3 linked regions of the Schizosaccharomyces pombe genome follow. Changing the gene in region 2 together with the main gene of any one other region gives a genetic interaction. Each region holds a gene or a part of one and is shown on either strand. Other genes may lie near its edges.

Region 1 (4,414 bases), on a different chromosome or scaffold from region 2:
AGCTAGGTTGGAAAAAGATCAAGTCGTCGCCAAAGTTGTGCAACTTAAAGGATCTGCGCTTTTTATGGTAGTAGAAAACAATGGACAGGAATTACTTGTTGAGATGCCTCCAAAGTATCGTAATAAAATATGGGTTAGGAGAAATGGGTTTGTAATAGTTGATAAATCTGAGTTTTTAGAGAAGGACAATAAAATTGACGGTACTATATTGTACGTGGTACAAAGCCCTTTAAAAAATTGGAAAAAACAAATTTATTGGTAAGAAATTCTCTTGAAATAACATTAGATGATTGTGCTAACTAGTTTAAAGGCCTAAAGAGTTTGCAGATGAATCGTTAAATCAAAACGATTCTGAGGAAAGCAGCAGTAGCGAGGAAGAATACGATAGTGACTAACAATTTACAAAAAATACATATATTAAGAATCCTTACAACGAACCTTGTAAATTAAACCGATGATAAAAAGCGTATAACGGGAAATGCTTGCAAGAATTACTTCATCCCACAATCGCTCATTACAATTGAGTACTTTGTTACACTTTAAACAATCCAATGAGAAATACTGATATTATTACCCTAACATTAAGATATTATACTAACCTTTTCATTGAAACTGAAATCACCATGCATTAGCTTTATAGCAATCCTCACCATAAAAAGCAATGACAATCGTGCGATCATTAAATTTACAACCTTTCATCTCTTCCATTGCGACCTCTGCAGATCTGATATCGGAGTATCGTACAAAAACCTTTCCAGTTCCTAATCCCGAGTTTCTAGTGCCAATACTACGAGGAATTTTTATATCTATAAGTGGTCCATAATTCGAAAATTGGGTCTTTACAGACTCATATATGTCTTCATATTCTTGTACATCCATAATTTCGTCCCCAGTAATTAAATTATGTAATTGTAAGACTCTAGTTGGAATAGATTGTGATGACGCCTTAGCAAGTTCTGTCAAAATGGCCATTCCATTAGACTTATCTATCATAGCTTGATTGAGACCTACACAAGCAAATTGTGCGTGTAACTTGTTCCCATACGTATCTTTACCATCAAGACCGCTGATAGCTACTTCCGCATCAGAAGGATTTTTAAATTCGCAAAAACAAAAACCCTTCGAAGATCCATCTGCAATATTTTTTATCAATTGAAAGCTTAATAAATCACCGAAAGGCTTAAGTAGCTCCACCACTTGATCTTCGCCTAAATTTAAAGGTAAATTTGAAATGTAAATTTTGTCTTTTGAATCTAAAACGTCGTTCTTGGCATAATCATCACTTCTTTTTTGAGAAACTTCGGGGGTAATTTGAGGGACGATGTAATTTTGAATTCTTTGAAATTTTAAAAAGACATCATTAGAATATGATTCGGACTGAAGCCCCCAGAGGAAGGTGGCATCTTCAGGAGTAGCGACCTCAAGAATAGCAAAGTTTTCTTCTTTACAGACGTTGACAGAGGAGAAATGCTTTGTCTCGGGTTTATGGTATGTAGTTGAAATAAATAGATCTTCGATAAATGATACAAAAGCATCTTCAACGAATTCGTTAGGAATTCCAGTAACCACTAGTCGACGAGCCTGTCTGCTAGCACCTGGTTGTAAGGGCGGAGGGGGAGCAATAATACTTCCTTCCGCAGAGCGAGCAAATTCTAGCAATTTCTCTGGATCAGTAACTGCAGCTCTAGGAGCGCCTGGCAAAGGAAAAACACCAGACATTTTCGCCTGGTCAGCAGTAACCAATTCATAACCAGGTGGTTTAATGTCCCATAAAGAGCGCTTCCTTTTCCACTGATTTATTGGTGTTACATCTCTCAATTGTTCGAGTTCCTGTTCGATAGACCTTACGCTTCTTTCTCGGCTGGGAGGTGGACTTCTACTTCTTCCGACAGATGAATAACGTAATGATCGAGGCTCATAATCATCATATCTTCTTTCTCTTCTTGGCCTCTCATCCTCTCGATAACTTCTTTCACGAGATTCTCTATGTCTACGAAAATCACTTTCGTCTCGGCGACGTCTTCTAGGTCGTTCAGAGCCATAATGGCCTCTCGGGTCTTCCCTTCCTATCCCACCCGAACCTCTTTCTCGTCTAGGTTCTTCATCGCGATAATCTCTGTGTCGCTTGGGTATCCGTGAAGAACCTGATGATAATCTGGAAGACAAATCCATGTTAGTGAATGAATATGAGGCTATTTAAAAAATTATTCAAAAAAGAAGGGAGGGAAGAAATTCGTTTATTAAAATGAACTCTTAAATTCTCCGGAAAAAACTTTGATGAAAGTAGGGAATACAAAAGTACAAATTCTAATGAAATGATATGCGCGTCAATGCTCTTGGATTCCTTGCTAAAAAAAATTTATAACATGAACAATAATAATTAACTTATTTTTTCTTTATGTGATACGCCCAAGGTTAGTCAAAAGTTTCGACTTACTAAGTTAAGGTAGTGAGAGTTTGTAGTAACTTCGCCAGCGTCGTAATTTTAAGCACAACGTTGTTGACTTACATTTTCTTTTTAGTTTCAAATAGCAACTTTCGCTAAACTTGCATTATAGACAACACTGTAACTTACGAATGCAGTTAAATTTTCAAAAGCATTTATTTAAACTGTTGTCCTTACCCTAGTACCATTCTCCTAAGTTTTAACGAATTTTTCTCTTTTGACCATAGTATTTGATTGTATGGCTTTCTTTTAAAGCAATCTTTAAAAATTTACAGCTGCCATGAAATTCAATAATTTTCGTTTTTTTTTTGCCAGTACATCCACGATAGATTTAATGTTTGTCTCATTTTATCCTTGAAATCCATGCTCTTAAATTGTATGTTCAATCTTTTAAAAATTTACTTTATTACACAAGAAGACGTTTACATTCATTCAAAATTTATTATTATTTATTTTCATACTAGCTTTCCATTGTTGTAAAAGCCGCTCTTTTTTTTAAATATTTGTTTACTTACGGCCATCATCTTGTGCACTTATTCAGTCGCGCTGCTGTGATATCTAAAAATTCATGAAACGATTCTTTAATGAAGCGTGCGACATAAACACTCCAGATAAATCTGGGGTAAACGAGAACAAGTTATGTTTCCCTCCCTTAAAAGTTGTATGTCAAGCACCAGAGACAACAGTTAAAGGACAAGTTGCCAATACTAATAAGCACAATGTATATTCTACTAAAAATTCAATGTATCTGCTGGGGTTCGAAGAAATCCTAAACACCGTCCTCGATTGTGAACCGCATATCTTTACTGATGATGAGTTGAGGGTTATTGAAAACTTTAAAGCTTTAGACTCGGATGAACGGTACTTGTTTGTTCGTCTATTCATGCGTAAAAGAAATAAATGGTTCCGCGTGGGCCATTTGACTTATCCAGATTGCAAGGATGTTATTGCCTGCTGTAAGCAGCTTGTTCTGAAAAATTTTTTTGAAGATGAATCACTCATGTCAACTGAAGAAATAATTGAAATTCTATCTCTCGATGAATTGCGTTCGTTAGCTAGACAAACGAAGGTGTGTGGAAAAAGCAGGTCTGAAATTTCAAAAGAAATCATTTTCCTATCTAAAAGACAATCAGTACTACATTGTAATGGTCAACAATTTTTGTCCTTTGATGCTTTTGGTGTGATGCATAAGCAAGAGTCGTTTCTTCGGAAGCAACTATTATATCAATGCAAATCCTGTGTGAAACCAAAGAAAATTTTAGTAGACCTATTTCATCGAATTAATATTGTGTACTTTCGTTCGTCCATTTATGATGAACAATCGCTTACGTCTTTAATATTAGCACGCCTTAACAAATTTTCCTACCCGAATTACGTTTTATCGCGAACTTCAAACGTCTTTAATTGTCGTGCTCAATGCCTTGAATACGTTGAGGTTTTAGAACTTTCAAAAAACTTGGTTCCAATCTTTGAAAACACTGCCGCTTCGGATAAGGAAGCACTCGAACAAGCGTTGAACAGTTTTTTTGAAATATATCCTATATGGTCGACATATCTAAATGAAGACATTAGGGAATTTTGGGTGGAAGAAAATAGAAAAGTAGATACTCGATTGGTAAGGTTTTCTTTTAGCTTTCGTCCTGGTGCTGTTTACACATACTTAATACATAAAAGTCTAAATATTCTCGCGAAGTCGCGATTAGTTGAGGTTGAACATGAAATATTAGATACCCTTTTATCTCAAAATATATATTTGGTGGGTAAAAGAGGACATTGGTATAATAGAAAAGCCTTACTGGAATACAACTTTAAAACTGAGGATACTAACGTTTTGCGTTATTGGAAAACGCTTGCTTTATCAACTTGTGAAAATGGTATTGAAGACAAGTATACCCACCTCAGATATTACTTTAGCTTACAAAGGAGACTTGTTCGCTTACGGAAGTGTTTAAAAGTCTCTAATACTAC
Region 2 (4,411 bases):
CAAATAATCCTTCAGAAGAATAAAGCTTTTCGATTATTTTTTCGATAACTTTAGAAAGTAAAGGGAATAGCGCAACTAATGTGATTGAACTAGCAAAAGAGTCGGTGGATAATATTAAGCTAGCCTTCATTGGACCCCAGCCAAATTTATAGTCCGTATAAAGCGGCAATAAGCCCATTGAACCAGCGCCGAGTAAAGTTAAAGATATCAATATTGCTGCAAGTAACACGTCCCAGTGTCTTCTTCCTGCATGGGTATCAGCATTAATATCGTACTGATGGAATTCGCATGATTCCTCTGTACATAAACTTCGAGGCCAAAGAATTATAAGTGGCTCAAGGCATGATCTCCATATCGAGGAAAATCCAGATATTTTATTCTGCTGCTCTTTACTTTCCGAAACATCTAGGCTTTCTGGAAGTATCAACCAAACGTAAAGTAAATAAATAATCCAAAAAGTTGAAGTAATATAAAATACATAATACATATGAGGAGTGTATTGCACAATGAATCCGCTTAAACTAGGTCCCAAAGCGGTTCCTAGATGGTAAGCAGCAAAATTTAATCCTAAATACCATGCACGAAACTCGGTCTTAGAACAATCTGCAACAAAGGAATTTTGGCTGGCTACAACGGTAGAAATATAACCGCCTAAGCCTTTCAAGGCAGCAGCAAAAAGAACAAAATATGGATGCTTGGGGGCATAGGACTGATATAAAAGCCATAAATCACCAAGCAGCAAAAATGAGACGGTAATGAAAAGTACAAGGCGGCGACCATAAATATCCCCCATTGTTCCATAATAAGCGGTGGAAAAAAGACCTAAAAAGGCGGCTAAAGAGCCAAAAGCGGCACGGACTTTTGAAACACCAGTAGTAATTTCCGCTAGTCGGCATATTGGGTCATCTGGGGACAACTGTGTAGGATCAAGGTTATAATGAATGGCACATAGTTCCTGTCGAAGTAAAAAGAGCAGAGGTATTTCAATCATGCCCCAAGAAAAGGCATTAATAAAGTTTAATGGAAGAATCAAAAGTGGAGATAAAGAACGTCTTCTGGCGATTTCACGACAACAGTTATCATTGTTACATATAGATTCATTATTATGATGAGAATTAGATGAATCTGGTTCATTGAAAGAGATGGGTTCATTAGAATTGGAGGTAGAGTCGTAATTTTTAGGCTTCGCCTTAAATGAGTCATGCGAGCTTGACTTTGCAACGTTATTATTGCTTGAACTGGCACCATTGGTTTCATGCTTTAATGAATGAGAATTACCGTTGCATGCAGAACCTTTAGCTTGCAAAGGACAATCAGAACAGTATTCTCTTTCTGGTGAAGGAGTTCTGGATCGAAAGGGCTTGTTCACTGACGGATCGGAAATTAGTAATGGAGTATGATCATCATCGTGTGAAGACATTTGTAGCTCCTTCTCAAAATGGTGGGTACGCTGATAAAATAGAATGTAAATTATAACCCAAATACTCTTCTACTCGAAATGTTCGCAATAATCAATTAACTCGTTGCCCTCAAACTGCAGCATCAATTGTAAAATTCCTTGCACCTATATCCTAAAAATTTTTCTATATGCAATATATACGTTTCACAACGTTTTCGATTTCGAGATAATTAGAAGACTTTAGGTAGTTGGTGCTACTAAGAAGGTTGAGAACCGAAGGAAAATATTTGCTCGAGAAAGTAATTTTGAACTACTAGTTACTATGAAGAAATAACTATATTCCAAAATGACAATGCAATGTAATTGCTTTGTAGTTGGCTAAGCCTTTAGATGTATATATATTAGACGCTTAGATTCTGGACTAGTTTAATTAATGCTGTTACGTTGTGGCGTTATAGTGTCATCGTTAGTCGTTGAATAGTTCTTATAGTGAAATTGGGTATAATATTCGAAAAAAAATTAGCAAACTCGCTATTTTATGCTATTTATTAATTCTTTCTGTTCTTACTGTGAAAGATATTTCTTATATTCCACTTACGTTTGAACTGAGGCTCTTGCTGTATTTTAACTTACGGCTTGCAGTATCAATATAACTATTGCTACTAGAAATTACCTTTAGTCTACGTATTCCATTGAAGCTCTCCGAACGCATCATCTATAGGAAGTTTATTTCTTTTGGAACGGCAAATTTGCCAACTTCTTGTCTGTGAACATATTTTTGTGATTGTATTCTTTCTTCTCAATTCCTTTATTTCATGCTAAGTTGAGCTATTTGATTTCATTTTAGAGCATATACCGGTACATAACTTATTAAATTCTGATTCCATAACAGGAGTGGAATTGATTTACTAATTCTCGGAGTACATTTATTGTAAATTTGAGCATCTCTATTATTTTGGCTTATTTTAGTTAATTATTGACTGTAAACCAACAACATGACTACATTACTGGAAACACCTGGATATAGTGAAAAACTTCATGATTCGATTGAAAAAAAACTTTCTGAATATGGGTGGGGAGAAGAGGCTGCTTCTCTGGCCGATTTTGTTCTTGTGATGCTTAGCAATGGAAAAACACAAACTGAAATTAATGAAGAACTAGTTGATTTAATAGGGTCCGATTTTGATACTAGCTTCTCACTTTGGTTATTTAATCAAATTGAAGAGCTTGAAAAATCAAAAAATGCTTCAGTTGAGTCAGTCAGCAAGATCGACGAAATCGATTTTATCGAGAAGGAGTCAACTGACAAGTCGCAGCAATCTTTCTCTGTGCCGGAAACTAGCATACAACCTCAATCTTCTCAAACTCCTAATATAACTTCGTTACGTGAAGAGAAGGAGCTACCTACTGGGCGTGTCGGACAAAAGCTCAAACTTACATCTCAGAAACAGCGATTCAATCCCATGGCAGCTTCGTTTAACTACTCGAAATCCGTTATGCCTGCTGCCAAGCGTGCTCTCACTCAAACCCAAGAGGTCCCTTTGTGCAAATATGCCGATAAGTGCTCCCGTGCTAACGTATGTATTAATATCAGATAATTTGTTAAAACTAACTCTTTAGTGTATATTTGCTCATCCGACACCAGCCGCAGCCCCAGGAGAAGGTATGGTCCTGAGCAGTGAAATGTGTGCTTCTGGTAAAGAATGCAAAGCTGCTGATGTAAGTACCATAATAATTTAAATCTAACTATTACTAACGTATACAGTGTGTCAAGGGACATCCATCTCCAGCTACGGTTACTACATTACCACCTTTCATGTCCATGTCAACCATTCCAATTCCTTGTAAATATAAACCGTGTTTGAATCCAGCTTGTCGTTTTATCCACCCGACGAAAAGCAGAAATATGACATGGCGGCCACCCTCTAAAACAGAAGAGACGTCCCTGAGTGAACGTTCGTTTGCTGTTAACGAGTCAGAAGAACAACTTCATGTTCCTTCTGTGTAAATTTAGAGAATTATGATACTATTTCGTGTTCGTATAATTGGCACATATCTACTTTTGATAGTCAAGCCAGGATACTTCGTTTAAGAACATACCTTCTAGAGTTTGCAAACTTGATATTTATTTTATTGTATAGATTGCTAAAACGATAAAGTTTTATTTGTCGCTACGTTTGCTGCAATCGGCAATTATCAAGTCGCTAAATTGATTTAAAAAATTTGTTTTCGTTATATTGATGTCTTTTTAGTGAATGAAAATTTTATTTTGATGTGAATTATGCAAATAATGATTTATTTACTTCTTCGGTTAAGTTAATATTATACATATTCAAATACCCACGTTTGTTGACATTCATTACTAAATACATCTTATGTTACTTGTTGGTTACTTGGCTTACACCATGTTGTTGACAACAATCACTTGGTATTTACATTCGCCAGTTTTACGTCTATACACATACCCTTTAGTTAAAAGGTTTTTTTTAATTGAATGGAGGTCCCTTCTTATTTTGACCCCGATTATGATCCTTCGTCTCTTCGAGTAGTAGATTTGCGTAATATATTAACTGAATATCAAATATACTATCCGTCAACGGCGAAGAAAGCGCAGTTAATCACGCTTTTCAGTAAACTACGAAGGGCAAAAAATGGCTTGATCTCTATGACAGAATTGCAGCAAAAGAACGTTCCTCCGTCTTCTCGTAGTCCTCGTAGAAGGGTGGCAGGGGTTACGAATAATGTTACTGCTCGAATTAGCTCTAAGAGAAAAATAAATATGGTTGACGAGGCTAATGATACAGAAATTTCTAAAACTTCACAATTTGAAGATAATGTGATGGGGATGTTACAGGACGAGAACGTTCAAGTTTTGAATACTAACACGATAACCATTTCAGAAGAATCTGAATTTCATGCCTCAAAGATTGCCAAAATAGATTCGCGAAACGAAGAAATAACACATATACCATTTGAGACGCAAACTGAGCTTAATGCGGCAGTTGTAAACCT
Region 3 (5,522 bases), on a different chromosome or scaffold from region 2:
AAAGCAACGGACGCATTCTTCACGATATATTACCTGAGAATTATCTGGGATTACAACGTTTGTCTCTGTGAGGTGCGGACACGACATGGGTTGCTATAGGTGTTTATGGATGGATGGACATGAGGTAGGCAGAATATTAACATTAGTTAATAATATACGTGCATCTTGTTGATTAACGTATCGCTACAACTAAAATACCATCATGTTTTACAGAGGGCTTAATTAATACTCCTAATCCTGCATACCAAACTCTTATTAATTCGTTTAATTATAAACTAAATTGCAGTACGTTACAGTACTGCAACGAGTAATATCATTATAACTCAATTTTCCTTGTTTGTAGAACTCCAGAGGTCCAATAATTGAACATCCTGGGGTTATTCTTTTTATTGTGTAAATAAATTAAAAACCAAGAATACTGTGCATGAACTATTACCATATTTAGACTTCCGAGTGCAGATGTATGCTGTCGAGTCTACCTATACTGCTGATTAGATATTGCTTATTAAAACAACATTTGTATCATTTCCTGTAAGCTTGCATTTTTATATTGAATATTCGAATAGAATACTCATTGCTGTATCCATGTATTAACGCAACAGTGGACAGCGTAAATAACATTGGCATATATAATGTTATCAAGCAGGAGATTTGTAGAAACAGCTTATTTACACAGTCTTAAAATAACAATAGTTAATTAATATTTCTTGAATTTTTTTTATGATAAGTGAAAATCCACACATCAGATTCTACTATACTCACTCAAGTTGTAAACAGATGGTTAATATACGCTGTATTTATTAAAATATCATTCTGAATATATCATTATCATTTACACAGGTACTCCTGAAATTTATAATATTAAAAAAAAAAAAAAAAAAAGAGAAAAAGATACAGCTAGATTAGCTGCCGTATTTTCTTTAAACCAAATTTATTTACACACTACATACATAATTCATGCCTATATTTATAAATGGAATAAAATAGAACAATTTTAATACCCAAAATTAACCTGGAAAAGCTAAGTTAAAAATGAAACGAGCCATATATATTGCCGATTATTATCATATTTTGATATCAGTGTTTTGCAGATGATTCTAATCTAACATATCTGAATCTTTTATTCTTTTTTGTGAAACTGACTTGCTTGCATCTTATGGCTGGAGTCAGTATAAATTTCTTAGAACTTATCAATCCAACGAATATACTTCTAAAAGATATTACATTAGCCTTGCACAACCTGCAGTTATAATCAAAACACTTAATCAACGTAGCTCAAGCATGTCTATTTAAGATGTTAAATATGTTTTGGTAAATTACTTTGCAAATAAAATTCTAAATACAATGGTTTGGCATTATGATAAAGAATAAGACAATTTACAAGCGAAAATAAATTTGACTGATGTGTCCAGGTACACTCATACTAGATACGATGAGCATTGATTTGAAACACCAGTATAATATACCGAGACATTAAAAGACAAACGTAGTGGCCATGCAAAAATATTGCTGCAACGTCTGTCCAGTTATCACTCGGATTCAATTAAGATTTGTTTAATTCCAATACTCACAAAGCTTGTGATGAACAATATTTTTCGTAATTTCAACCGTTCTGCATACTTTACACGACATTGATTTACAAAGTGTAAATTCATCTTCAAAGAAAAGTAGGAAAATAAAAGAAAGGAAGAAAACACTGTTCATGCATTTTTTCAAAATTGTTGCAAAAAATCTAATAAATTTATTTGGCTATCAAATGCTAAATCATAAATACTCGTGTGTTAGCGGTTCAGTGTATAACAAGTCAATCACAATGCTTATTTATATATCGTTTGATTGTAAAATCATTACATACAGTAGGAAATTTATTTTGTTTAAGAAATATTCTATCTTAAGTTTTTCTAAATTTACTTTTACCTAATGGCTCTTTTTAACTTTGTTGTAGTAAAGCTGCTAGGAGTTAATTTCTCTTCTTCGTATTGCCTACTTTTAAAATTTGAAAGCCACTACCAGATATTTATAAAGCCGAAAGGCTCGGCTTATTGCATTTAATTGCAGATAATTAGAATGGCAAACTTTTATCCAGATTTTCTGAATATGCAGCCACCTCCTAACTATGTAGCAGGTTTAGGACGTGGTGCAACAGGATTTACAACGCGTTCAGATCTTGGGCCTGCTCAAGAATTGCCATCCCAAGAATCTATAAAGGCTGCAATTGAACAAAGGAAATCAGAAATAGAGGAAGAAGAAGATATCGATCCTCGTTATCAGGATCCTGACAATGAAGTAGCGCTGTTTGCTACTGCTCCATATGATCATGAGGACGAAGAAGCTGATAAAATATATCAATCTGTAGAGGAACATTTAAGTAAAAGAAGAAAATCCCAACGTGAAAAACAAGAACAGCTACAGAAAGAAAAATATGAAAAAGAAAACCCCAAGGTTTCTTCACAATTTGCGGACTTAAAACGTGGGTTATCCACTTTGACAGATGAAGACTGGAATAATATCCCAGAACCCGGCGATCTAACTCGTAAAAAAAGGACTAAACAGCCGAGACGTGAAAGATTTTATGCAACAAGTGATTTTGTTCTTGCAAGTGCTCGCAATGAAAATCAAGCTATCTCTAATTTTGCAGTGGATACTCAAGCAGGAACAGAAACTCCAGATATGAATGGGACAAAAACAAATTTTGTTGAAATTGGAGCTGCTCGTGACAAAGTTTTAGGTATCAAGTTAGCACAAGCTTCGTCGAATTTGACTTCACCATCGACTATAGATCCGAAGGGGTATTTAACTAGTCTGAATAGTATGGTTCCAAAAAATGCCAATGACCTGGGTGATATAAGAAAAGCTAGAAAATTGTTGCAAAGTGTTATTGAAACGAATCCAAAGCACGCCTCTGGCTGGGTAGCTGCTGCGCGGCTTGAAGAGGTCGCGAATAAATTATCTCAAGCACAATCTTTAATTTTAAAAGGTTGCGAAAATTGTTCTCGCTCTGAGGATGTTTGGCTAGAAGCAATACGACTACACCCGGCTGCAGAAGCAAAAGTTATTATTGCAAATGCCGTTAAAAAATTACCAAAGTCAGTGACGTTATGGCTTGAAGCCGAAAAACTTGAAAATCAAGCTCAGCACAAAAAAAGGATTATAAAAAAAGCTTTAGAATTTAACCCGACTTCTGTAAGCTTATGGAAAGAAGCTGTAAATTTAGAAGAAGAAGTGGATAATGCAAGGATACTATTAGCTCGTGCCGTTGAATTAATACCCATGTCCATTGATTTATGGTTAGCTCTTGCTCGACTTGAAACTTATGAGAATGCTAAAAAGGTGCTCAATAAAGCCAGACAAACCATCCGTACTTCCCATGAGGTTTGGATTGCTGCTGCTCGTTTGGAAGAACAGCAAGGTAATGTATCACGGGTGGAAAAAATAATGGCTCGTGGTGTAAGTGAGTTACAGGCTACTGGTGGTATGTTACAACGCGATCAGTGGCTTTCCGAGGCTGAAAAATGCGAAACTGAAGGGGCAGTGATTACTGCACAAGCTATAATTAATACGTGCCTCGGTGTTGGATTGGATGAAGAAGATCAATTCGACACCTGGTTAGATGATGCTCAATCTTTTATAGCTCGTAAATGTATAGATTGTGCGCGTGCTGTTTTTGCTTTTTCTTTAAGAGTCTATCCAAAAAGTGAGAAACTTTGGCTGAGAGCTGTTGAACTTGAAAAGCTGTATGGTACAACAGAAAGTGTTTGTTCTATTTTAGAAAAAGCTGTAGAATCATGTCCTAAAGCCGAAATTTTATGGTTGCTTTATGCTAAAGAGCGAAAAAACGTTAATGATATTGCTGGTGCTCGGAATATTCTTGGGAGAGCTTTTGAATATAATTCTAATAGCGAAGAGATATGGCTTGCTGCTGTCAGAATTGAATTTGTGAACAATGAAAATGAACGTGCCAGAAAGCTACTTGCCCGTGCTCGTATCGAATCGGGAACTGAACGAATATGGACTAAATCCATTTCGCTTGAACGAATTTTGGACGAAAAAGATCGGGCGTTACAACTTTTGGAAAATGCACTGAAAATTTATCCCCATTATGATAAGTTGTACATGATGAAGGGTCAAATTTTTGAAGATAAAGAGCAGATTGAGCTTGCTCGAGACGCATACTTGGCTGGCACAAAAGTTTGTCCTTATTCCATACCTTTGTGGCTTTTGCTAGCCAAACTTGAAGAAAAGCAGTCCGTTATACGCGCGAGAGTTGTGTTTGATAGGGCTAAGGTTAAAAATCCTAAGAATGAATTTTTATGGCTTGAACTTATAAAAATGGAACTCCGGGCGGGGAATATTTCACAAGTTCGTGCAGCCCTTGCTAAGGCCTTGCAGGAATGCCCATCTTCGGGTTTGCTGTGGACGGAGGCTATATGGCTTGAACCTCGCGCACAGCGTAAAACTCGTGCTACAGATGCTTTAAGGAAATGTGAAGGCAATGCACATTTACTTTGCACCATCGCCAGGATGCTGTGGCTGGAAAAAAAAGCAGATAAGGCGCGTAGTTGGTTTTTAAAAGCTGTTAAGGCTGACCAAGATAACGGAGATGTGTGGTGTTGGTTTTATAAGTATAGCTTAGAGGCTGGGAACGAAGACCAACAGAAAGAAGTGCTTACAAGTTTTGAAACCGCTGATCCTCATCATGGTTATTTTTGGCCCAGTATTACTAAAGATATCAAAAATTCTCGGAAAACTCCGCAGGAACTATTACATCTTGCCATAAATGTGTTATGATTACGACAAAAATGATGACTGTAACATATTGGATCTATTATTTATCTTAAAATTAATGTTTAAATTGGTATTCGAATTTACTTTAGATATTTGTAAATTTACGGACTTTTTAATAAAAAAGAACGATTTTTAAACAGGTTCGATTGAACACTTACTTTAAATCAACAAGAATACCAGTTAAGAAAGCAGTAAAAGTGTAAACCAAAACTTTTTATGTAATACACACTATCAACACGAAAGTGGGTTTTAAAAAACACAAGGGAAAAACTTTCAAAAATAAGACAAAAAATTAGAGAAAAAAAAATTAAGTAACCCCTTTTAAGTATATGTTGCCTTTACTCAGCAACGGGATTCCATTGTGAATATATATCCCAGCGACTAGATTCGGCTTGACGCGACACATATTTGACAAATTGAAGGACACCTTCATCTCTATAAACCAAAGAAAAAACATTCCAAGCGGCTGGCAAAGAAAGCAAAATACTGTCATCTTGCTGATCACCCCTATACACAGCAGCATCTACATCAGGATCTTCATCGCCAATCATATAAATATCATATGCACCATTGTCAGTATTCGCAATGCCTGTCCCCGGAGATAAGCAAAGAGTAGCTTCTAGTAAAGCTGTGTCATTCGTAGTAGCAAGCGTAAAATCGGAACCAGGGCGGAATCGTCGACCAACTTGATGAAAGGAACGAAGGGGTAAGCCACTGACAAGTTGGATCCAACGCTG

Evidence for each region.
Region 1: of nab2 (region 2) and prp2, changing one suppresses a phenotype caused by changing the other (phenotypic suppression), as found in Schizosaccharomyces pombe (one study listed by BioGRID).
Region 3: of nab2 (region 2) and prp1, changing one suppresses a phenotype caused by changing the other (phenotypic suppression), as found in Schizosaccharomyces pombe (one study listed by BioGRID).

What each region holds. Positions count from the first base shown.
Region 1 is NC_003423.3:1,011,313-1,015,726, reverse strand, and holds prp2 (U2 small nuclear RNA auxiliary factor small subunit, U2AF-59), read right to left. Parts: upstream 2,418-4,414; 5' UTR 2,173-2,417; coding exon 619-2,172; 3' UTR 548-618; downstream 1-547. Other genes in the region: tif1102 (translation initiation factor eIF1A-like), read left to right, coding at 1-258, 311-395; fan1 (fanconi-associated nuclease 1), read left to right, coding at 3,015-4,414. UniProt on the Schizosaccharomyces pombe protein: Necessary for the splicing of pre-mRNA. The SF1-U2AF59-U2AF23 complex has a role in the recognition of the branch site (5'-UACUAAC-3'), the pyrimidine tract and the 3'-splice site at the 3'-end of introns.
Region 2 is NC_003424.3:5,237,801-5,242,211, reverse strand, and holds nab2 (poly(A)-binding protein Nab2), read left to right. Parts: upstream 1-1,993; 5' UTR 1,994-2,394; coding exon 2,395-2,976; exon of another isoform or gene 2,977-3,019; coding exon 3,020-3,118; intron 3,119-3,164; coding exon 3,165-3,407; 3' UTR 3,408-3,886; downstream 3,887-4,411. Other genes in the region: SPOM_SPAC14C4.07 (transporter), read right to left, coding at 1-1,420; LEM domain-containing protein Man1, read left to right, coding at 3,894-4,411. UniProt on the Schizosaccharomyces pombe protein: RNA-binding protein involved in RNA processing. Acts as a regulator of mRNA stability: binds to mRNAs and pre-mRNAs, preventing their degradation.
Region 3 is NC_003423.3:2,639,923-2,645,444, forward strand, and holds prp1 (U4/U6 x U5 tri-snRNP complex subunit Prp1), read left to right. Parts: upstream 1-1,998; 5' UTR 1,999-2,067; coding exon 2,068-4,788; 3' UTR 4,789-4,975; downstream 4,976-5,522. Other genes in the region: ubiquitin hydrolase Ubp14, read right to left, coding at 1-87; ofd1 (2-oxoglutarate and Fe(2+) dioxygenase domain-containing protein 1), read right to left, coding at 5,124-5,522. UniProt on the Schizosaccharomyces pombe protein: Involved in pre-mRNA splicing. Interacts with prp6 and prp13. May also be involved in the regulation of the G0-G1/G2 transition. Required for pre-spliceosome formation, which is the first step of pre-mRNA splicing. This protein is associated with snRNP U5.